Linked DNA regions of Mus musculus. The main gene of each other region encodes a partner of the protein of the gene in region 4 in a complex. Links are inferred from orthologs where the notes say so. Each region holds a gene or a part of one and is shown on either strand. Other genes may lie near its edges. The genes, in order: Pold4, Rev3l, Pold1, Pold2 and Pold3.

Region 1 (3,639 bases), on a different chromosome or scaffold from region 4:
TATTAGGCAGATTTTCTGCTGGCTGGTCAGGGAAGGAAACTTAGAGTGAGTTTCTACCAGGGAATACCAGAGGCCACTCAGCTTTTGAAAAGACTGCCTTAGAAAAATAGATATGGAAGCCTTGTGGTATAGAAACACAAGCCTTTAACCCCAGCACTTGGGAGACAGAGGCAAGTAGATTTCTGTGAGTTAGAAGCCAGCCTGGTCTATATAATGAGTTCTAGGACAAACAGAACTACATAGTGAAACCTTTTCCCCATTAATTAATTAGTTAATTAATTAATCACTTTACATCCCAGTCACAGCACTGTCCCCCGCCCCATATTGGGACCCTTTAATCTCAGCATTCAGGAAGCAGAGGCAGGCAAATTTCTGAGTTTGTAGCCAGCCTAAGTAAAGAAAAAAAAAAAAAAAAAAAAAAAAAAAAAGCCTGTAGCTGGCTCTCCAGCCCACTTACAGTTTGGGAACTGCCGGCTAGATTAGAGCATATTAAGAGATGTAAGGTCAGAATCTCAGGCTTAATGTACTTTATTGTAAGCATTAGTGAGCTCCTTGATCCAATAACTCACTCATCTGTGCCCTCAGCTAGATGCCCAAGGTGGGCCCTTTAGGTTATCTGCCGACATCTGGTTTATGCCAGCCTGTGCTGGATTTGCCACACCGTAGGTCAGGGGTGTGGCGGGTGGGCATCTGGTGGTCATGATTAGGGCGTGGAGGTGCTCAGCTTCACAGGTCCCAGGAGCTTCAGCAGCCTGCTGTTTAGATGGAGAAGAAGCTGAACCAGGAAGACCTCCACAGTCAGCCTGCTGTTTCTCCAAGGTTGGAATGAGCAGAGCAGGCCATGATGTCTGTCCTGAAGTTCTTGGTGGCTAGGAGGTGCCCAGAGAAGGACAACGTGGGGGTACCTCAGAGTGGGTAGAGATGCCACAGGCTGTGGAAGACAGGGTGGGAGAAGGAAGTCATAGCCACATCAGTTCTGTTCCTTGATGGACTGTCTCTAGTTCTTACTTACTTACTGCCTACAATCCTGTGGCTCTGGTGAACACCTCAGGACTCATGGATAGCTCCATGGGCCCTAGATATACCCGTCCCCCACCATCAGCTCATAGAGGTAAGGATCATTATCGAGATCTATCTCGAGCCAGACTCTTCTTGCTTGACAGGAAGGACCGTCTAAGTCTGTTCCCACTTCTCCAAGTCAAGGTAGCCCCTACGTAGACCAAGAGGGTGGCAGCTCCTGGAGAAGTCCCTGGTTCCCCTGAAAGCTGTCCCAGCCTATCCTGACCTGCATTGGAAGTGAGGGTCTTCAGGGTGTGCCTTCAACACTTGGTACACCTCTAGGGGGGGCTTCAAGCCCATCTGCTCTGCCCGACTCCAGCGCTGCAGCCTTGTGATACCTGCCATCAGGAAAAGAAGACAGGATAGGCAGGAGAATCCAGGATAGTGGACATGGACGGCAGTTTCTTGAGCCTCCATAGTCAGTTTCAGGAGACAGTGTCCAAGAGCTAGGCAGGATTACTTTTGAGACACATTGATAACAGAACTGATTCAGAGATGTGCCTGATGGGAGGGACTGGAAATGGGGTGCTCACCTGTACAAGGCCCATACTGCCAGGCCAGGTCAAACTGCCTCAGCAGCTCCAGCTCTGTTTCCTCCTGGCTGAGGGACTGGGTGTCTTCCCCTGCAATAACATGTGGTGGCTCCTCAGGCACATCCAGGCCTTTGCCCTACCCTGGACTTAGAGCTGTGACTCTATATCCTGGCAATCTCCCCACCCATTTGCCTTTGCCATCCAGCAGACAGACAGCTCATCGGAAGTGCGAGACATGCTAGCTTCCCTTTTTAGCCAACACACACACACACACACACACACACACACACACACACACACACACACAGAGTCCTTTCTGGTCACTTCATGTCCACTCTTCCTGCCACCCCCACATTTTAGAGACCTAGCTCGGGTGCCAGCTCTCCCTTGCTGTGCCCAGGGGGCCCCTCCCTCTTCTTCACAACAGGATAGGAGTCAGTGATGAACCGCTTCCGACCCATGGCGGCCACCCAGGCAGGCGGAGCAGGAGGCAAAGAAAAGGCAGGGCAGCGGGCCTGTGAGAGACAGCTGCTGAGAGTGAGAGAGGGGGCCAGAGAGAGATGGGCCAGCAATGGACAGACAAGTTGACCCAGACAAGCAGAGAGAGGAAGTCCCTAGGTTCCAGGGAATGACGCCTGTCTTCCGCCCCCACAAGCACGCAAACATCAGAGACCTAAGCAAATGGCAAACGGCCTTTGCGGGGCGGGACCTTAATTCTAGCCAATGGCAATCGGCAGAAGACGGGGGGCGGGGTAGCTGCTGCTGCGTTTCGAGTGAGGAGGGGTTAGGCGGAACCAAGAACCTGTCAAGATGCCCCAGACTTCACCACCTCCTCGGGTTTCTCATTGGTCCACTTGGGTCCCTTGGGACATATAGAGAGTTATCCTCGGCCTCTCACTTCCCGTTTTTCCTTCCTAGGCAAATGTTCTTTTCAGCCTCACTAATCCCCATGGCCAGTTTTTAAGTCCCCTGAGAACCTTTTTCTCCTGCCGGTTGGCCCTAGAGCGCTGTGGGATCAGATCTGTAGGTCCAAAGAGAGTTTGGACTAGTCCAGGTCCTTCCCTGCTGCTCTTACTGGCCCCAGGAGACCTTGCTGGAGAAACTCATGAGCTCAGAAGGCTCCTTTCTCACAGTCTGCTGGCAGAGCCACTGTCCACCCAGCCCAGGCATGCGGTTGCTGTGGCCGCTGTCAAGTCCCACAGCCTGCCTCTGTCCACTTTGCTAGTCAGGAAGATTCCATTCCAAGCAGGACGCCAGAAGTATAGTCTCCATTCTCCATGGGTTCATATCCCCAGTTCTTAACTGACAGATCTGCTCTGTTTTTTTGTTTTTGTTTTTTTCTGAATGTGTATCATGAGCAGAAAATAATTTCAATAAACCCAACCCTCATATTGGACTTTCCATGTGCCGAGTTCTAAGCATCTCCCACATGCTAACTCAAAATAGATATCAAAAGAGTTTTTTTGCAAGTGGGAAGTGTAGGCAAATTGTGATCAGTGCTCTTAGTAACAGCTACTGTGTAACTAACTAGCTTCCCGTGTGCTGCAGAAGTGCTCTTAGTAACAGCTACTGTGTAACTAACTAGCTTCCCGTGTGCTGCAGAAGTGCTCTTAGTAACAGCTACTGTGTAACTAACTAGCTTCCCGTGTGCTGCAGAAGTGCTCTTAGTAACAGCTACTGTGTAACTAACTAGCTTCCCGTGTGCGGCAGAAGCTCCCAGGCTTGCGCGGTAGAGAGAGGGACATACACAGTCGTTAGTCCTGGACAGGAGAGCAGGAGCACGAATGCCTTAGAGCTGGAGGAGAATGGTAGGCATTGGGAGAAGACCTCAGGAGGTAATTGCTGTAAACAGCGTCTCTCAATTCTCTACCCATGACCTTTGTTTTGGGGCTCCTGTCATCACTGACTCACCCCTACTACCACCTCCCCCTCACCAACTTCCTGGCAGCGGGTGAAAATGCTGGCCCGTGGGAGTCTGGGAACCAGCACTTGGACTGACCCAGCACTAATCACCCTCTGGAGAGCCCATCCGGTTCTTCCTTCCAGG
Region 2 (3,513 bases), on a different chromosome or scaffold from region 4:
GCTAGGATCTGAAGCAGCAAGCATCTCAGTGACTGAGCCATCTTCTAAGCATCCCCATGCCCCAGAATGTTTTCTTAGAAACTTATATCCTATAGGTTTTATTGTTAATAATTAGCACACATTTAACTTAGTAAACACAAAAACTTTAAGGGAAAAACCTCTGTCCTATAGCCAAGTAAAACAAAACAACCAATTTAATTAGGAAGAATGAACATGTATTAAGGGTAAAGAGAAGACTTGTATACATAATTCTAAAATTTCAAAATATTTTCTAATTTAATTTCTATAAACTAAATTTTAGTTATTAATTTTGCAAAAATGTGAGAATATAAATCAATCTCAGTAACTGGTCAATATTTACTTTTTTCTGTTTTACACAAGTACAGTAGAATAGCAAGATGGAGATCAACAAAGAGAATTTAATATATCCCTTTCTGGTTAAACATTTCCATCCTTGTCCTATGGACAAATCCTGCTAACTAAGCATAGTGTGTGCAGCCTTAAAGCTGCAGTTTTACCTCGTGTAAAGCCTTTGCCTCCTGTAAGTTCTGTATGCTGACTTTGAAACCGTAGGTATTGTTTAAGGACGGTCCATCAATCTGAGAAGTTTCTTTCTTTGGAGTATTTACTGCCGCAAACTGATTCTATTTAAAAAAAAAAAAAAAGGCACATTCAGAAAGGGCATAAGCAACCATTCTTTCTTTGGATTATTCTTGCTTAAACATTTTATGTACTTAGTAATAAATAATGAACATGATAAACATAAAGATTCTCTTTAAGTTTAAGAAAAAGTTTATTAACATTCATTTTATTTTAGTAACTGTAGAATAGGATGCAATCTATAAACAAACCCTGATTGACAAGCCCCAATCCTGAAAGCAGTGGTCAGGCAGAGCTCACATATACTTATATCATTTACACTACATCACTACATGGATATGGACCTTGACCTTTCTTGAAAGAACATCAAGTATTTAACATTTACAACTGCTTGGCTAACATTTGCAAATGGTGCACCTTACCCCACTCTACACATATTGGAGAAAAGCTTTCAAGCATTTAGAATAGACACTTCCTATTTCTTTTACAATTTTCTTCTTTTCTTGCTGCCCCCCCCCTCTTTTGTTAGCCATGTCTCATGCTACTGCCCAGATTGGCCTAGTACTCATGGTGATCCCTGTCTCAGACTCCCCAATGCTGGGATTACATGTGTGACCAACCATATCCAGCTCTCTCTGTTCTTAAAATACCTCTTATGCTATTTAAGTAGATTAACCATTTTATGTAACATGTTGACTTATGTTTACAATGCACTGCTACTTGTTTTTAATATCAATAGGTTATAATTCAAAACCTTTATAAATCAAAGTTTGTAGTATAGCCTCAGTATAAAAATACATCTTATATGTAATGACCTTTCTGAGTAGTAGATAATATGGAAGTGGTTTCTGTCATTTATTTCCAAAGATAATGTCTAATATGTATAGAAGTTCTACCTGACTACTGCTTTCATACTTCTCAATTAAGAACTATCATATCTTTAGTATTTGAATAAGGACAGTTATAATTCCTCAACTTCAATAATACATAATGCTGCTTTCTTTTGTAACTTGGTGAAGAAAATTAAAAATTAAGTAATATTTGGGAAAAAACCCAAAGAAAAAAATATATTTTTGTTGAGATTTAAAAAAAAAAATCACTTATTTAGTCAGGTGGTGGGCGTACACGCCTTTAATCCCAGTACTTGGGAGACGGAGGCAGGTGAATCTCTGCTCGTTTGAGGCTAGCCTGGTCTACAGAATGAGTTCCAGGACAGCTGGGGCTCTATTACACAGAGAAATCCTGTTTCAAAAACAAAACAAAACAAAACCAAACAACAGAACACCAACTCAAGCAACTGAACCATTCCTTAAGCTCTGCTGTGATAAGATGCTCTGATGCTGTTACCAGCTAATGTATATGTATCGGCATAACCTACATTCTGGCTGTCATAGTCACTGTCTCTGGAATATTTGCATTTACACATAAGAATCTTTTCTATCCCAACAATAAAAAACTAGATTTTTCTCAAAGATGTGTAAATAATGATGGCAAAAATAATACACATTAAGTTAGTACACAGAGAGCTCTGAAGCGCAGACTTGGCCTTGCACTGAGCTGTAGGTGTCTGGCACAGTTACCTCCACTTGCGTTGTCAGGAGAACTCTCCTGAGACCATCAGCATCACTTCCTTTCTTATTATACAACTTCTGGGTTTTTGGTTCTGTAGAAAGAAATTTCATTTTTAACTTGTACATCTGCTTCTCTTTCTTAAAGCAAATTTTGTTGTTTCAATCAAATATCATTTGTGAATACTGCTATATGCATTTTTTCAGATTTCATAATTTTAAAATGAAATTAAAACCTCCAATTTCTACAAAATACTTCATACTTCTACATTTTAAAATAAGCACATTTATGTTTTACTACTGAGCTAGAAAACTTAGTCATTACTCTTGGGGCTAATTCACTCATTTATCATGTGTTTCTGATGAGGAGGGAGTGACATAGTTTCTTTTGTATTCTAGAAAGAATTGTATATGGAAGTGAAATGACAACAGTTTCCCTTATCTGTGCTGATTGTTCTGGAACCTCTGGCTTCTGTTTACACTGTTTTGCTCTACCTACCTACCCCCATAATAATAGCTTTTAATTCATAAACTAGGCCCAGTAAGATTAACAAACCCAGTAATAAAACAGAATTATAATATACTCTAATAAGTTACATGCATGTTAGCTCTTTCTCAAACATTCTTATTTTCCCCACTGTTTCAAAAAGACTGTGTTTTCCTGTTCCCCTTGGCATCTATGAATCTATAAATGGTCAGCACCATTACTTCTATGCTCCAGAGCCATGAAGTAAAATAAAGGCTATTTGAACATGAGTGCTCCAATCCCACAACAGTTGGATGGAGTACTGAGACAACTACTAAATGATGAAAAAGGGTATCATGGATAGAATGCATACATCAGACAAAGAGATGGTTCATATTTCATGATATTCAAAATAGCACATGACTTAAAACTTATGGATCATGTACTTACAGAGTATTATAAGAGTATTTTTGGACTGCAGTTGTCTGTATGCAACTGAATTTCCTACAAACCAAATTCTGAGTGAGGGAGGAACTAATTGAGAATTTATATCTATCTAATTAAAGCTTGGTGTCTTTGAACTGAAATATGTGTAGTAGGTACACATAAATTATTTCTTCTGATTGCCATGCACCGAGAGTGTCTAAGAAGGCCTGTAGACACTTAGGCCAGAGATGATAATAAGCCACATAAGGTTGTGGTGGCAGAGATAAAATGAAAGAACTTGGTAATGGATTGAAAATCAAGGTGCTTACCAAGACAATCAGGTGGTGCTACATATATATTGTGTCTGACTCTGGTGACTGACGGGGTCATAGTACTATTCACTGAGAGAGAGAGACAGAGACAGAGAGAGAGAGAGAGACAGAGAGACAGAGA
Region 3 (3,513 bases), on a different chromosome or scaffold from region 4:
GGCCCCGAGGCATCAGTGACATCCTTCAGTGTGGCCTCCGGTCCTGAGGGGTGTTCTCGGACCCCTCCCCTAGGCTCAGCACCACCCCTGCCAGAAGGGCCCCTGCCATCCCGGAACTCAGTGCCCATACTGAGGGCCTTTGGGGTCACCGATGAAGGCTTCTCCGTCTGCTGCCACATACAGGGCTTTGCCCCCTACTTCTACACCCCCGCGCCTCCTGGTGAGTGTTCCCTGACCTGAGGGCCTTGTTCCTGGACTCCAGAATTTCCTTTGCTCTTCTGACTGGCCTCCTACACCAGGTTTTGGGGCCGAGCACCTGAGTGAGCTGCAGCAGGAGCTGAACGCAGCCATCAGCCGGGACCAGCGCGGTGGGAAGGAGCTCTCAGGGCCGGCAGTGCTGGCAATAGAGCTATGCTCCCGTGAGAGTGAGTGTGGCCTGGGGGGGTGGGGGGTGGGGGTAGGGTGCCCTGGTAGGTGTGTGCCAACCTCCTTTCTCCGCAGGCATGTTTGGGTACCACGGTCATGGCCCTTCTCCATTTCTCCGCATCACCCTGGCACTACCCCGCCTTATGGCACCAGCCCGCCGCCTTCTGGAACAGGGTGTCCGAGTGCCAGGCCTGGGCACCCCGAGCTTCGCACCCTACGAAGCCAACGTGGACTTTGAGATCCGGTGCTGTCCTGTCTCCCCTTTGCCCTACTCCCGCCTCAGTCCCCTCAGGCGGCCCTTGCCAACTGACACGCCACTCTTCCAGGTTCATGGTGGATGCTGACATTGTGGGATGCAACTGGTTGGAGCTGCCAGCTGGAAAGTACGTTCGGAGGGCGGAGAAGAAGGTAAGAGCACCCCGGGGCGGGGTGGGGAGCCAGGACCTGGTGCCGATGTCGCTCCTACCTTGTGCAACCCGCTACCTTTCCCCAGGCCACCCTGTGTCAGCTGGAGGTGGACGTGCTGTGGTCAGATGTGATCAGTCACCCACCGGAGGGGCAGTGGCAGCGCATTGCACCCCTGCGTGTGCTTAGCTTCGACATCGAGTGTGCTGGCCGAAAAGGTTTGTCCCGGGAGCCTGGGCTCCTTCTCTCTGTCTGGGCATTGGTGATGTGCCAGGCCCCTGTGGAGGGGTGAGTGGGTGGAAGGAGTGCTCCCTACAGAGAGAGCCCTGAGCACAAAGGCACCAGGGCCTGGGGCTGTCCCACCCATGTGGCTGGAACAGGGGCTGGAGCTGAGAGGCTGTGGATGAGCAGGTGTGGGGACCGTGGATGGACCGGGACAGGGGACGAGCAGGAATGAGGTCCCTGTGTCTTCCCCTCTGCAGGCATCTTCCCTGAGCCTGAGCGTGACCCCGTGATCCAGATCTGTTCTCTGGGGCTGCGCTGGGGGGAGCCGGAGCCATTCTTGCGTCTGGCACTCACGCTGCGGCCCTGTGCCCCCATCCTGGGTGCCAAAGTGCAGAGCTATGAGCGGGAAGAAGACCTGCTCCAGGTGGGTCCTCCCTCCTCAGGTGCCACCTGCCCTGTGTCCCCAGCCATGCCAGTGACCCTTCTCTAGGACGACACCGTGTCCTCGGGGTTGGGCTGTGTGTTTTCCTGAGTTCCACGGCGTTTTTGCAAGTGCGGAGGTTGTCTTGGATATTCTGAAGAGAAGGTAGCTGAGGTAAAGACAGCCTGGTTGGCCTTTGTGTCCGTCCCCTCCACAGGCCTGGGCCGACTTCATCCTTGCCATGGACCCTGACGTGATCACCGGCTACAACATTCAGAACTTTGACCTCCCATACCTCATCTCTCGGGCACAGGCCCTAAAGGTGAGGGAAGCTGGATCTTTTCCCATCCCTCGAGGCCATCCTTGCCCCGGGCCAGCCGGCTGCTCTGGAGTCCAGGTGTGCGTTACCTCACTTTAGCTGGAGCCGGAAATTCGTCGCTGTGGACAGGAGGCGGGCGCCTTGAGAGTCCGGCCCTCCACACCATCACCGTCACTGCGTCACTGTCTCTGCCTCCATAGCCAGGCCTCCTTTAGAATTCACTGGCAAGGGGGAAGGGGAAACGGGGGCATGGAAGAGGAAAGGGGTACATGCTTTGGAGCGCGGCAAAGGCTGGGTGCTATGGAAAGGGAAGAGTGAGCCTTTTCACACTTCCACTGTAGCCAGCTGCACACTTACCCGGTGCAGGAGGCTGCAGAGGTGACCCTCTGGGTGTTAGTGAGCCTGAGGGCAGGCAGGCCCTCCCCTCCTGGGCCTGGTTCTAATGGCCTTCCTGGGCTGCATCTGCTTGGGCCTTTCTTCTGTGCCTCAGTCAAGTCTCCCTGCGTCCTTTTTCTAGGGCAAGCTCTGTTACAAGAGGGGTCCTGGGCGATGCACAGAGGGGAATCTGCCCGAACAGGATACACTGTATCACTTTCCTGCTTTCTGCAGCTGTAGCCCATTTGGTGATGAGTAGGCAGAGCCGACTTCACTGCCTGGCTGCAGGGAGACCCTACCATTGTGTCCTGGGCACCTCACCCTCAGCCCCTCTCCTCTAAGACTCCCTCTCTCTGCCAGACTGTACCCCAGCGCCGCCCCTGTTGTCTTCTCTGCCCTCCCCCAATAGTCCATGTCTCTACCTATAGCCCATCAGGCCCCCAGTCTCTCAGTCTCCCCGGGGCTATAGCTCTCAACTCTGTCCCTGATCAATACCTCGTCCCACCCAAGCAGTCTCCGCCTGCAGCTCATCTTCTCCAGACCCAGGAGTGCCATGGCTGGTCTCTGTCCCTGTTCTGAGGGCCTAAGGCTAGATTCAGAGTTGAGCTGACAGGTCTGCACCACAGCAAGGCTCTCCCCATGCTCCTCAGGTGGACCGCTTCCCTTTCCTGGGCCGCGTGACTGGTCTCCGCTCCAACATCCGTGACTCCTCCTTCCAATCAAGGCAGGTCGGCCGGCGGGACAGTAAGGTGATCAGCATGGTGGGTCGCGTTCAGATGGATATGCTGCAGGTATGTAGGAACCCCACTCGCCCTCCCCAGCCCCCAACACGCTGCCTTAAACAGAAGCTCCACCCACCTGAGGCGGCACCCTGACCCACCCACCTAAGTACCACAGACCCTCTAGACCCCATCCCACGACTCTTGAGGTTGCGTGGAGATACCCTTCCCCACACCTCTGAGGCCCCGCCCCACCCCAACCTGCGCAGGTGCTGCTTCGGGAACACAAGCTCCGCTCCTACACGCTCAACGCTGTGAGTTTCCACTTCCTGGGCGAGCAGAAGGAGGACGTTCAGCACAGCATCATCACCGACCTGCAGGTGCCGCCACTCCACCAAGTCCCTCCCCGCCTCCCTCCTGGCTGAGCCCCTGACTGACTGAGCCCCTGACCCCACATGCCCATCCCCAGAATGGGAACGAACAGACGCGCCGCCGCCTGGCCGTGTACTGCCTGAAGGACGCCTTTCTGCCACTCCGACTACTAGAGCGCCTTATGGTGCTGGTGAATAATGTGGAGATGGCGCGTGTCACGGGTGTACCCCTTGGGTACCTGCTCACCCGGG
Region 4 (4,291 bases):
TTACAATTCAAAACAGTACAAAAAACACAGCCGTGAAGCAGTAATGAGAATAGCTTTATGGTTGGGGGTCACCACAACATGAGGAACTGCATTAAAGGGCCGCAGCATTAGGAAGGCTGAGAGGCACTGTTCTACAAGAAATCAGCCCTGCTGACTTGATTTCAGACTTTACACCTCCAGAACCATAGGAGAATACATGTGTGTTGTCCTAAGTCCCCTGTTTACATACAGTACTTTGTTACCATGGACACGGGAAGTAACTGAAGTATATTACCTACATGCCTGTCACATGCTCTGTGCTGACAACTACCATGTCCTTAAGACTCTGCAGTCTTTTATTTTCCAGACAGGGTCTTATGAAATAACTCTGGCTGTCCTGGAGCTCACTCCATAGACCAGGCTGGCCTTGAACTCACGGGGATCCACCTGCCTCTGCCTCCCCAGTACTAAGATTAAAGGCCTAGCTAAGACTTTGGATTCTCATGCCAGCCCCTGCTCTGCCCGATCCTTCACCTCTGTGTCCCCTCCACCCCAGCCCACTCTATTCTCTGTGGAGTTAGCAGCCTTGTTCATTCAACATCCCCAGGAGGAAAACCAGAACACGTGTGAAGGCTCCACACGCCCAGCATGAAAGATGTAGAAAGCCACGCTGGGCAGGAAGAAGGAAAGCAAGTTCCAGAGAGTTCCAGGGACTCATCAGCACAGACCAATCCTGGGACAAACTGCTGAGGAGGCAGGGCGAAGTGGAGGCTGGGCCAGAACCGCAGTCCTGCCCTGGAAGAGCCAGGAGCATGCCTCAGAGCTCCACCGTGAGCTCCATCCACAGAAGAAAAGGGCTAACACCACACAGAAGCATTGGATGCCAACATAAACTGCAGATTCCACACTCCCACCTGCTGTGGCTCTGCTATGGCCTGGGTGTGTCCATCCCTCAAAGACCAAGGTGCCAAGCCTGCTGCTATGAGGAGCTCTCTAGCTAAAGGGTGCACACCAGTGACCAATTCACACTGAAGACAATAAGGATAGGAAGACCATTTCCTCCATGGATGGAACAGTAGCCATCACTGCCAGAACCTAGCCCTTACCTCTGACCAGACTCTGGGCCAAACCCAACTTTAACCACACAGGTTAATTTAATCCTCACTTTTAAGAAGAAGCAGGGAGCTGAAGGGGCCATTCCATGGTAGCTGGAAAGTATTCCAGGTTAGATAAGGTCCTAGTTCTAGCTGCTGGGCTGCTGGGAGCAGCGTACCCCAAACTTACCCCAGTGTTGCTGCGCCCGGCTCACCAGGAACGGTCTCATCTGGATGAGGCGGGTGGCATAAATATGGGCGTACTGCCGGTTAAAGCTGCGCTCTCCCAGTCGGAAGGGCTGTGAGGAGTTGGTGTAAGTTGCCACAGGTACCCGGGCAAAGGTGGCATTGCTGGCAGAGGGCGGGGCGAGCAGAGTGTGGGCCCTCTGTGCTGCCTGCTCGGAGAACATGGCGGCACTCCTGGCTTGTTTGGTCCAAGCAGCTGTGTCCAGGCCGAGGAGTTATCACTGCAGAGACACACAAAGGCATTCCTGCAATCCCTTCTTGTACCCAAAGCTCCCCTAGTGTCCCAACCACGCTGTCCACAATGTGCACACATGTGTCCGGAGGTGTCATCCTATAACCTAGTCAGATACAACCTGGAGCTCGTTCCAAACCTTGTTCATCACCTCCTCCTCTCCACATTTCTACCCAATCACCAGGGTCTCAAATTCTGCATACCCTCAAATGGAATTATTGATCTGCTTCTGCCCAGCTCCCTGGGACCTCTGCTACCTCTAGGGATGCTATCAGGCATCACTGAAGAAGCCTGTCATAATATAATTAGTGATAAAAAATAAAGCATAAAGCTGCCCCTGTTTTGCTCAAAACCCCCCAAAGGTTGCTTTTCAGTAAATAAAACCCCAAGTTCTTACCACGACCTGTAAGATCAGCTCTGGGCCTCTAAGAACAGCTCCCCCCTCCTATCTGTTTCTCCTTCCAAGTGTCCCTTCCACAGCAGGGGCTCCAAGTAGAGGCCTCTCTACTCCTGCTGGGTCCTCTCCTTTTCCCCAAGGCTTACTGGCTCTTCCCTTTCAAGTCTTTCCTTAAAACTCACCTTCCCATATCTAATTGACTGCATTGCTACTTCAACTGTCTGCATCATTATCATCTCTCAAGCATTTACTTTGCCTCCTCCAACTGTTGCCTAAGCTCCGGCAGCGCAGAGGTTTGTTTTCTTGTATTGCACCCCTTCCCACTAAGATGTGCTTGGGGATGGATGCACAGCGGACTTTAGTATAAAGTATCTCAACATATTCTTCATGCGTAGTTGAGACGACAACAGGCTGGATGTAGTAACGGAAGTTTTGAACACAGCTTTCTTTTTCATTTTACTTTTTTTTTTTTTTTTTTGGTACAGCTATTACAAAGTTCAAATTCCCCTAGCTGGTTCGGCTTTCTTTAATGCGCAGCTCTGGCTTAGGGAGCGGACCCTATGAATTTGCCAAATGGGCACATGTAAACTGGATGTAAGCCAAAAACGCACGGTGGTGGCAGCGGCCCACACGGTGCTCCAGGCCGGACCCGACGGGAGACCTGCCCCGAAGCAGACACGCCCAGCTCGGGCCCATGTTACAGTTCGAAGCACCCTCAAGACCCCGGCCCGCTGTCCAGGTACCGCCAAGTCTGACCCAGGACCCACGTTAACCCCGCTCAGCAGCACACTCACCGCGCCACGCCGCATCCCGCCAATCTCTGCGCGCCCGTCCCGCCCATCGGCGCATCCAGCCAATCGCCTCCCGCCCCATCCCGCCCATCGCTGCACGCTTCATCCAGCCAATCCCCGTGCGCCCCGCCTCTGGACCGAGGAAACGCGGAGTCACGCCTCCGGTTCCCGGGACAACCCATCACTTAGCACTGGGTTTCCTGTGCGCATGCGGTGTTTGCGGCTGGGCCTCATCGGGTGAACTCCTTGGGTAGCGTGGGCCGTAGTGAGGCTGGGCGCCTGGCTCATGCTGCTCTCCCCGAGCGCTGGGGGTCTGGTGGCTCCTGTGTGGCTGAAGCTTCCCTCCCACTCTATCCTGCGCTGTGATTCTCACCCTGACTTCTCAGATTCCCTTGGAAGCATGAACAATTTCTCCCATCTCACAGGCAGGGAAACAGGCAAAATGACCCAGCTAGTGAGAAAAGCTAGAATTCACACTAAGACACCCTGACTGCAAGTGCATCAGACTTCAGTGGTAACATTGCTCCTTTTTAAAATTGCCTAATTACTCAGTCTGAAACTTATTACTTAAGGTAGGTTTCTTCTGGCTTACTAAGTTTTTTTGTTTTATTTTGAATTTATTTTGTTTTGTTTTGTGTGTGGGTGTGTTTTGCCTGCACGCATGTGAGGTCAGTCTCCTCGGAGGCGAGAAGAGAGCGTCCGTGTCACCTGGAACTGGAATTACAAATGGTTGTGAGCCATTCTGAAAGAGCTCTCAACCGAGCTTTCTCCAGCCCCTTGTTTCTGTTTTTGTTTGTTTTTGCTTTTTGAGACAAGGTTTCCCTCGTTCCTGTTTTAATAATGAATTAAATCATTTTTTTCCCCCCGAGACAGGGTTTCTCTGTATAGCCCTGGCTGTCCTGGAACTCACTTTGTAGACCAGACTGGCCTCGGACTCAGAAATCCACCTGCCTCTGCCTCTGCCTCCCAAGTGCTGGGATTAAAGGCGTGCACCCCCACCCCCGGCTAAATCATTTGTTTTTAATGTTTCAGTTTGTTGAGTATTTTTTCCTTTGTAAGCTGGGCTGAGTGCGGATTTTTGCCTACTGTCTCAAGTAGCCTGTTGCATATTTGATTATGTTGCAACGTTCTTGTGTTCCAGGAACAAACCCCATTTGATGGATTTGAAACCACTTTGTAGAATTAAAATCCAAAGTTACAATGACACAGAGCTCGTTGTTGTGCAGCCCCTTGACTGGAGCTCTCCATTTACTCTTTGGTTGCTGTTCCCTTTGGTCTGCAGGACTCTCCTTAGGATTCCTTACAGTAAATGTCTAAGGAAATGGACTCATCAAATTTTATCCCAGAATATCTTTATTTCTACTTTTTCCTTGAGACGGGTCTAATATATTCCATGGTGTAGCAACAGGGCCTTAAACTCCTGATCTTTCTGTCTACACCTCTGGAGTGCTGGGGTTACAGGCACGTGCCACTACCCTGAGTTTTATGCAGTGCTGGAGAGTGAGCCCCGGGGCTTCATGCAGGCTAAGCAAACACTCTGCCTTCTGAACTA
Region 5 (4,218 bases), on a different chromosome or scaffold from region 4:
TCAGGCAAGAGTAGCTGAGTAGGAAGCTGAGAGCTCCCATCTTCAAATGCAAGCACAAGCAATAAATCAGAGAAAGTAACCATGAAGTGGAGGAAGGCCATAAACAACCAAGCCTGCCTCCAGCACCTCCAGTGCCTCCAGCAAGGCTGCACCTGCTAAACCTCCCAGGAAGGTGCCACCAACTGGGGACCAAGAGGTCAAATATCTAGGGGGACTCATTCTCATTCAAATCACTACAAAATTGGCTGCAAACTATCACAACACATTTGCATACGAGTCCACTGATCTACGGGAAAAACAGGGCTGGGGAAAAACTCACTGGGTCAAAGGCCCACCAGCAAGCATGAGGACCGGAGGTCGGATCCCCAGAACCCAAGCAAGCAAAGCTGGGTAAGTAGCATATTCCTGTATTTCCAGATCTCCTGTGGGGAGAGGGAGGCAGAGACCAAAGTATCCTCAGAAGCTTGCAGGCCAACCAGTGTGCTGTACACAGCAGAGAATAACAAGAGACCCCCACCTCAAACCGGTCAGAAAGGCAGGAATGAAACCAAGACGGTCCTCTGACCTTGCCCTGTGCCCTGTAGCCTGTGTGCATACACATTTACATACATGAACACACACAGTTCAAAAGACAGACAAAAGTAGTCAAAAGGCAGAGAAAGTAATATTCTTTCCTATTGACCCAGGTAGAAAGTCAGTTCTAACCTAAGAGTTAGTTCTATGAGAATTAAAACAAAGTGAACGTTTTCTTTAAGGGGCTGGCCACTGGGAGTCTGACCATGTCCCATGACTATACAGGCAACTCAGATTGGACTCATTTGTGTGTGTGTTGGACCTGGAAGGACTGGGAAATGAGTGTGAGTGGGGTGCATGATGTGAAAATTCCAAATAAACAATAAAAAGATGATGCTGAAAATAATAAATAAAAACAAAGTGAAAGAAAAATTCCAATATTATTAAAATTAGCAGTCAAATGAACTTACTGTTTGGCCTGGTTAACATGAACCCCTAGTGTATAGCTTAGCCACTTGTAAGTCACCTGAAACAAAAAACAATTTTTAAGGTTTTATTAGCTGATTCCAGAGTACAGATAAGTGCCAAGAGCCTGTTCCTAGGGACTCTTATTCTCGGATGGCTGTGTCCTGTAAACTACAGCAGATACCAACAAGAAAAAAACCATATGACAAGTAAGGCCAGGGTACTTACCTTACAAACACTAAGATGCTTCACAGACTGATCAATGCAAAAGAATCTACAAAGGTGGGTCAGAGAGATGGGCAGTGGGGAAAGGCACTTGCTACCACACCCTTAAGAACCTGGGTTTGGCCGGGCGGTGGTGGCACACGCCTTTAATCCCAGCATTTAGGAGGCTGAGGCAGGAGGATTTCTGAGTTCAAGGCCAGCCTGGTCTACAGAGTGAGTTCCCAGGACAGCCAAGGTTATACAGAGAAACCATGTCTCGAAAAACAAACAAACAAAAAGAGCCTGGGTTTGATTTGTTGGATTCGTACGGTGGAATGAGAGAACTGGTCCTCTGACATCCATAATTGTGACATAGCACAATTATGTGTGTGTGTGTGTGTGTGCGCGCGCGCACGCGCATGACACTAAACATAATAAGAAAAGTCTTAAGAGTCTACAAAGCCAAGCCAAAGATTATTTAGCTCAAACTCCTTGTCTTACTTAAAAGCTCTCTGACCCTCTTGTCTTTAAGAAGCTACCTAAAACTATCCTAAAATTTATCTAAAACCTAGCATTACTTGAAAGCACATAACCCAGGAACTTCTCAGTAAATTTGCAACTATTCAAATGTTAAGAGGAACAGGTGGTGTGGGAATCAAAAAAAAAAAAAAAGAGAGAGAGAAAAATGGATAAATGTAGTATGGGGTAATTTCAAGAACTAGGGGCATCGAGCCTCCATCCTTCCCTGACCCGGTATGTCTGTTGTTTCTTCCAAAGCTAAACGATGCACTCCCAATAAGAGGACTAATAAAGATTGGTCAGAGGCAGAGTGGCAGACAGAGGCAGAGGGGAAAGAGACAGACCTGGGATTCAAGAATTTATCTATCCAGCCCTAATGGCCCTTGACGCGTTTATACACGTCATTTGACCCTTGGCTAAATCCCACTTCTAGGGATAACACAAAAGCCTGGAGGACCCGGGAGGTGTGAGTCGGTGTACCAAACTGTGTCCATGGGCTCACAGCAGCAAAGGTCCATCACACCCAAGTCTCTTCATTTTTACGCTAGCCCGAGGAGGTGGGTCAAGCTGCTTTCAATATTTAAATTTCCAGGAAGAGGAAACTGTCTCTGGTGGGTAAAGCACCAGGCAGTCGCCTATGAAAGTCGGCCAGTCTCAACTGTCTTGAGGGGCCACCACCCGACAGAGCAGGGAAAGGAAGCCTCACGAACCCCGCTGGCTTCCCAGGCTCCACGCCCCCGGACCTCACAATCCCGCCCAAGGCCCCGGGGCTTGGGCGCGCGCCAGAAGCTCTGCCCGCAGGGCGTGTCTCCCTACGCGGGTTTCGCGGTGACCAGTGGCCACCTCAGCCGGTCCCCGAGAAGCCACAGGCACCGGGGGTCGCGACCCCTCGCCGACCGGGCAGGCCCAGTCCCCCGCACACCCGCCTCGCACGGCCCCGCCTTCCCCACCCCCGTGGTCCTAGCTCCTCACGATCTTGTTCTGGTCCGTGACGAACTCGTCTATGTTTTCTAGATACAGCTGTTCCGCCATGGTGGTGCGGCTTCGAGCCCCGCGCTCAACCCGCCCCAGCCGTAGCTCCCGCCGGCGGGAAACAGCTTCGCTCACTCTCGGGTCACAGGTCGTCTCCCAGGGCAACCAAGGCGCCGCGCTACGGCGGCGGGTGAGGGCCAAACTAGTGAGAGGCCAGCCAGGGCTGATGTAGGGGGAAGTTGGAGCGAGACCGACCGGAAGTGAGGCGCGAGCCCGTGGTTGTCGGTGTGCACCTGAGAACGTTGCGATTTCTCTGCTACCACAAGTAGACTGACTCATAACCTTATATTTCACCGCTGGGGGCGGGGGAGTGCTGTGGCCAAGAGTACACATGGAGCCTACATTGTAAAGGAGAGGGAGGAGGGGGAAGAGGGGGAGGAGGGGTGGCTTAAAAGAGTTGGTGTCAGGCGTGGTGGTGCAAAAGCAAGCAGATCTTTGTGAGCTGAAGACCACCCTGTTCTACCCATGGAGCTCCAACCTAGCCAGAGCTACCAAGTAAGAGTCACTAGATTAGGGACATGATCTTTGGGTCAACCAGGAGTTTCCCGGAAGATGTGAAAAGACTGGGGAAAAGAGCAGACGAGAAATCAAATCATTCTATTTGGCTGGAGTTATAAGTGAGACGATACACATAAAACCTTCAAGCTGTGCTCACCACGATCACACTAATAATAGCTGGTAACTGTGTTGTTACACGACAAACATATTGAGCAAGTGCTTTGAAAATGAAATTTCATTTAGTCTCATAGAAACCCAGCAAATGCATTGTGTGGTTTTCATAGAGAATCATAACAGATGCCTGTAAATAAACCCAAGATCATGTCAAAGAGATTACAGTTGTGTCTACAAATACACTGAAAGGTTTTAGGGTCAAAAACAAATCAGAGAAGAGTATCCCTTGGAATTTTCCCTCCCACGAATTAAGAGATGAAGAAAGTCTTTTAGTTTCATGTATATTCCCCAGATATATCACAATTACTTACTTACTGAGTAACTAGCATGTGGTGGGCATCTCTAGCAGTGACCCTAATCCTCAAGTAGTCTTGTTAGATTTTATTATCCCTTTATACACACACACACATACAAAAGATGAGGTCCCATCATTTCAAACCACCTTCATGTTGTTCATGGGAAGAGTGACTAGGAAACAACTGCAAGGACTTTGAGACAGGGTTTGTGTAAACAAAAACTATTTTAAGTATGATCTTGGGGCCAATGAGATAGCTCAGTGGGTAAAGTGCTTGCAGCACAGACCTGATGACCTGAGTTCAGTCCCAGGGAGCCACATAAAGATGGCAGGAGAGAACTGATTCCTTGGAGTCATCCTTTGGTCTCCACACACCATGGTACATGCAGGCCCATGTATATGCACAAAATAATTAATAAATAAAAATTCAAACTTACTGTATTCATAATGTCAGAACACCCACGTGTAATAGACTCTCAGCAAATGAATTTTGCTTGAAGTTTGGTTACAATGAAGGC

The links.
Region 1: Pold2 (region 4) and Pold4 share a complex: the UniProt entries of both Homo sapiens proteins name them as parts of the tetrameric DNA polymerase delta complex. The link is inferred for Mus musculus from reciprocal best matches to the Homo sapiens genes POLD2 and POLD4.
Region 2: Pold2 (region 4) and Rev3l share a complex: the UniProt entries of both Homo sapiens proteins name them as parts of the tetrameric Pol-zeta complex. The link is inferred for Mus musculus from reciprocal best matches to the Homo sapiens genes POLD2 and REV3L.
Region 3: Pold2 (region 4) and Pold1 share a complex: the UniProt entries of both Homo sapiens proteins name them as parts of the tetrameric DNA polymerase delta complex. The link is inferred for Mus musculus from reciprocal best matches to the Homo sapiens genes POLD2 and POLD1.
Region 5: Pold2 (region 4) and Pold3 share a complex: the UniProt entries of both Homo sapiens proteins name them as parts of the both the DNA polymerase delta and DNA polymerase zeta complex. The link is inferred for Mus musculus from reciprocal best matches to the Homo sapiens genes POLD2 and POLD3.

Annotation. Positions count from the first base shown.
Region 1 is NC_000085.6:4,230,506-4,234,144, reverse strand, and holds Pold4 (DNA polymerase delta subunit 4), read right to left. Parts: upstream 2,253-3,639; 5' UTR 2,054-2,252; coding exon 1,957-2,053; intron 1,731-1,956; exon of another isoform or gene 1,683-1,730; coding exon 1,593-1,682; intron 1,398-1,592; coding exon 1,286-1,397; intron 932-1,285; coding exon 907-931; 3' UTR 511-906; downstream 1-510. UniProt on the Homo sapiens protein: As a component of the tetrameric DNA polymerase delta complex (Pol-delta4), plays a role in high fidelity genome replication and repair.
Region 2 is NC_000076.6:39,829,649-39,833,161, reverse strand, and holds part of Rev3l (DNA polymerase zeta catalytic subunit), read right to left. Parts: intron 2,264-3,513; coding exon 2,181-2,263; intron 645-2,180; coding exon 519-644; intron 1-518. UniProt on the Homo sapiens protein: Catalytic subunit of the DNA polymerase zeta complex, an error-prone polymerase specialized in translesion DNA synthesis (TLS). Lacks an intrinsic 3'-5' exonuclease activity and thus has no proofreading function.
Region 3 is NC_000073.6:44,538,811-44,542,323, reverse strand, and holds part of Pold1 (DNA polymerase delta catalytic subunit), read left to right. Parts: intron 1-73; coding exon 74-220; intron 221-299; coding exon 300-425; intron 426-501; coding exon 502-670; intron 671-752; coding exon 753-834; intron 835-919; coding exon 920-1,049; intron 1,050-1,313; coding exon 1,314-1,480; intron 1,481-1,694; coding exon 1,695-1,799; intron 1,800-2,821; coding exon 2,822-2,962; intron 2,963-3,159; coding exon 3,160-3,270; intron 3,271-3,359; coding exon 3,360-3,513. UniProt on the Homo sapiens protein: As the catalytic component of the trimeric (Pol-delta3 complex) and tetrameric DNA polymerase delta complexes (Pol-delta4 complex), plays a crucial role in high fidelity genome replication, including in lagging strand synthesis, and repair.
Region 4 is NC_000077.6:5,875,450-5,879,740, forward strand, and holds the start of Pold2 (DNA polymerase delta subunit 2), read right to left. Parts: upstream 2,808-4,291; 5' UTR 2,743-2,807; intron 2,215-2,742; exon of another isoform or gene 2,131-2,214; intron 1,541-2,130; 5' UTR 1,484-1,540; coding exon 1,264-1,483; intron 1-1,263. UniProt on the Homo sapiens protein: Accessory component of both the DNA polymerase delta complex and the DNA polymerase zeta complex.
Region 5 is NC_000073.6:100,118,691-100,122,908, forward strand, and holds the start of Pold3 (DNA polymerase delta subunit 3), read right to left. Parts: upstream 2,811-4,218; 5' UTR 2,734-2,810; coding exon 2,674-2,733; intron 2,673-2,673; exon of another isoform or gene 1,207-2,672; intron 1,040-1,206; coding exon 984-1,039; intron 1-983. UniProt on the Homo sapiens protein: Accessory component of both the DNA polymerase delta complex and the DNA polymerase zeta complex.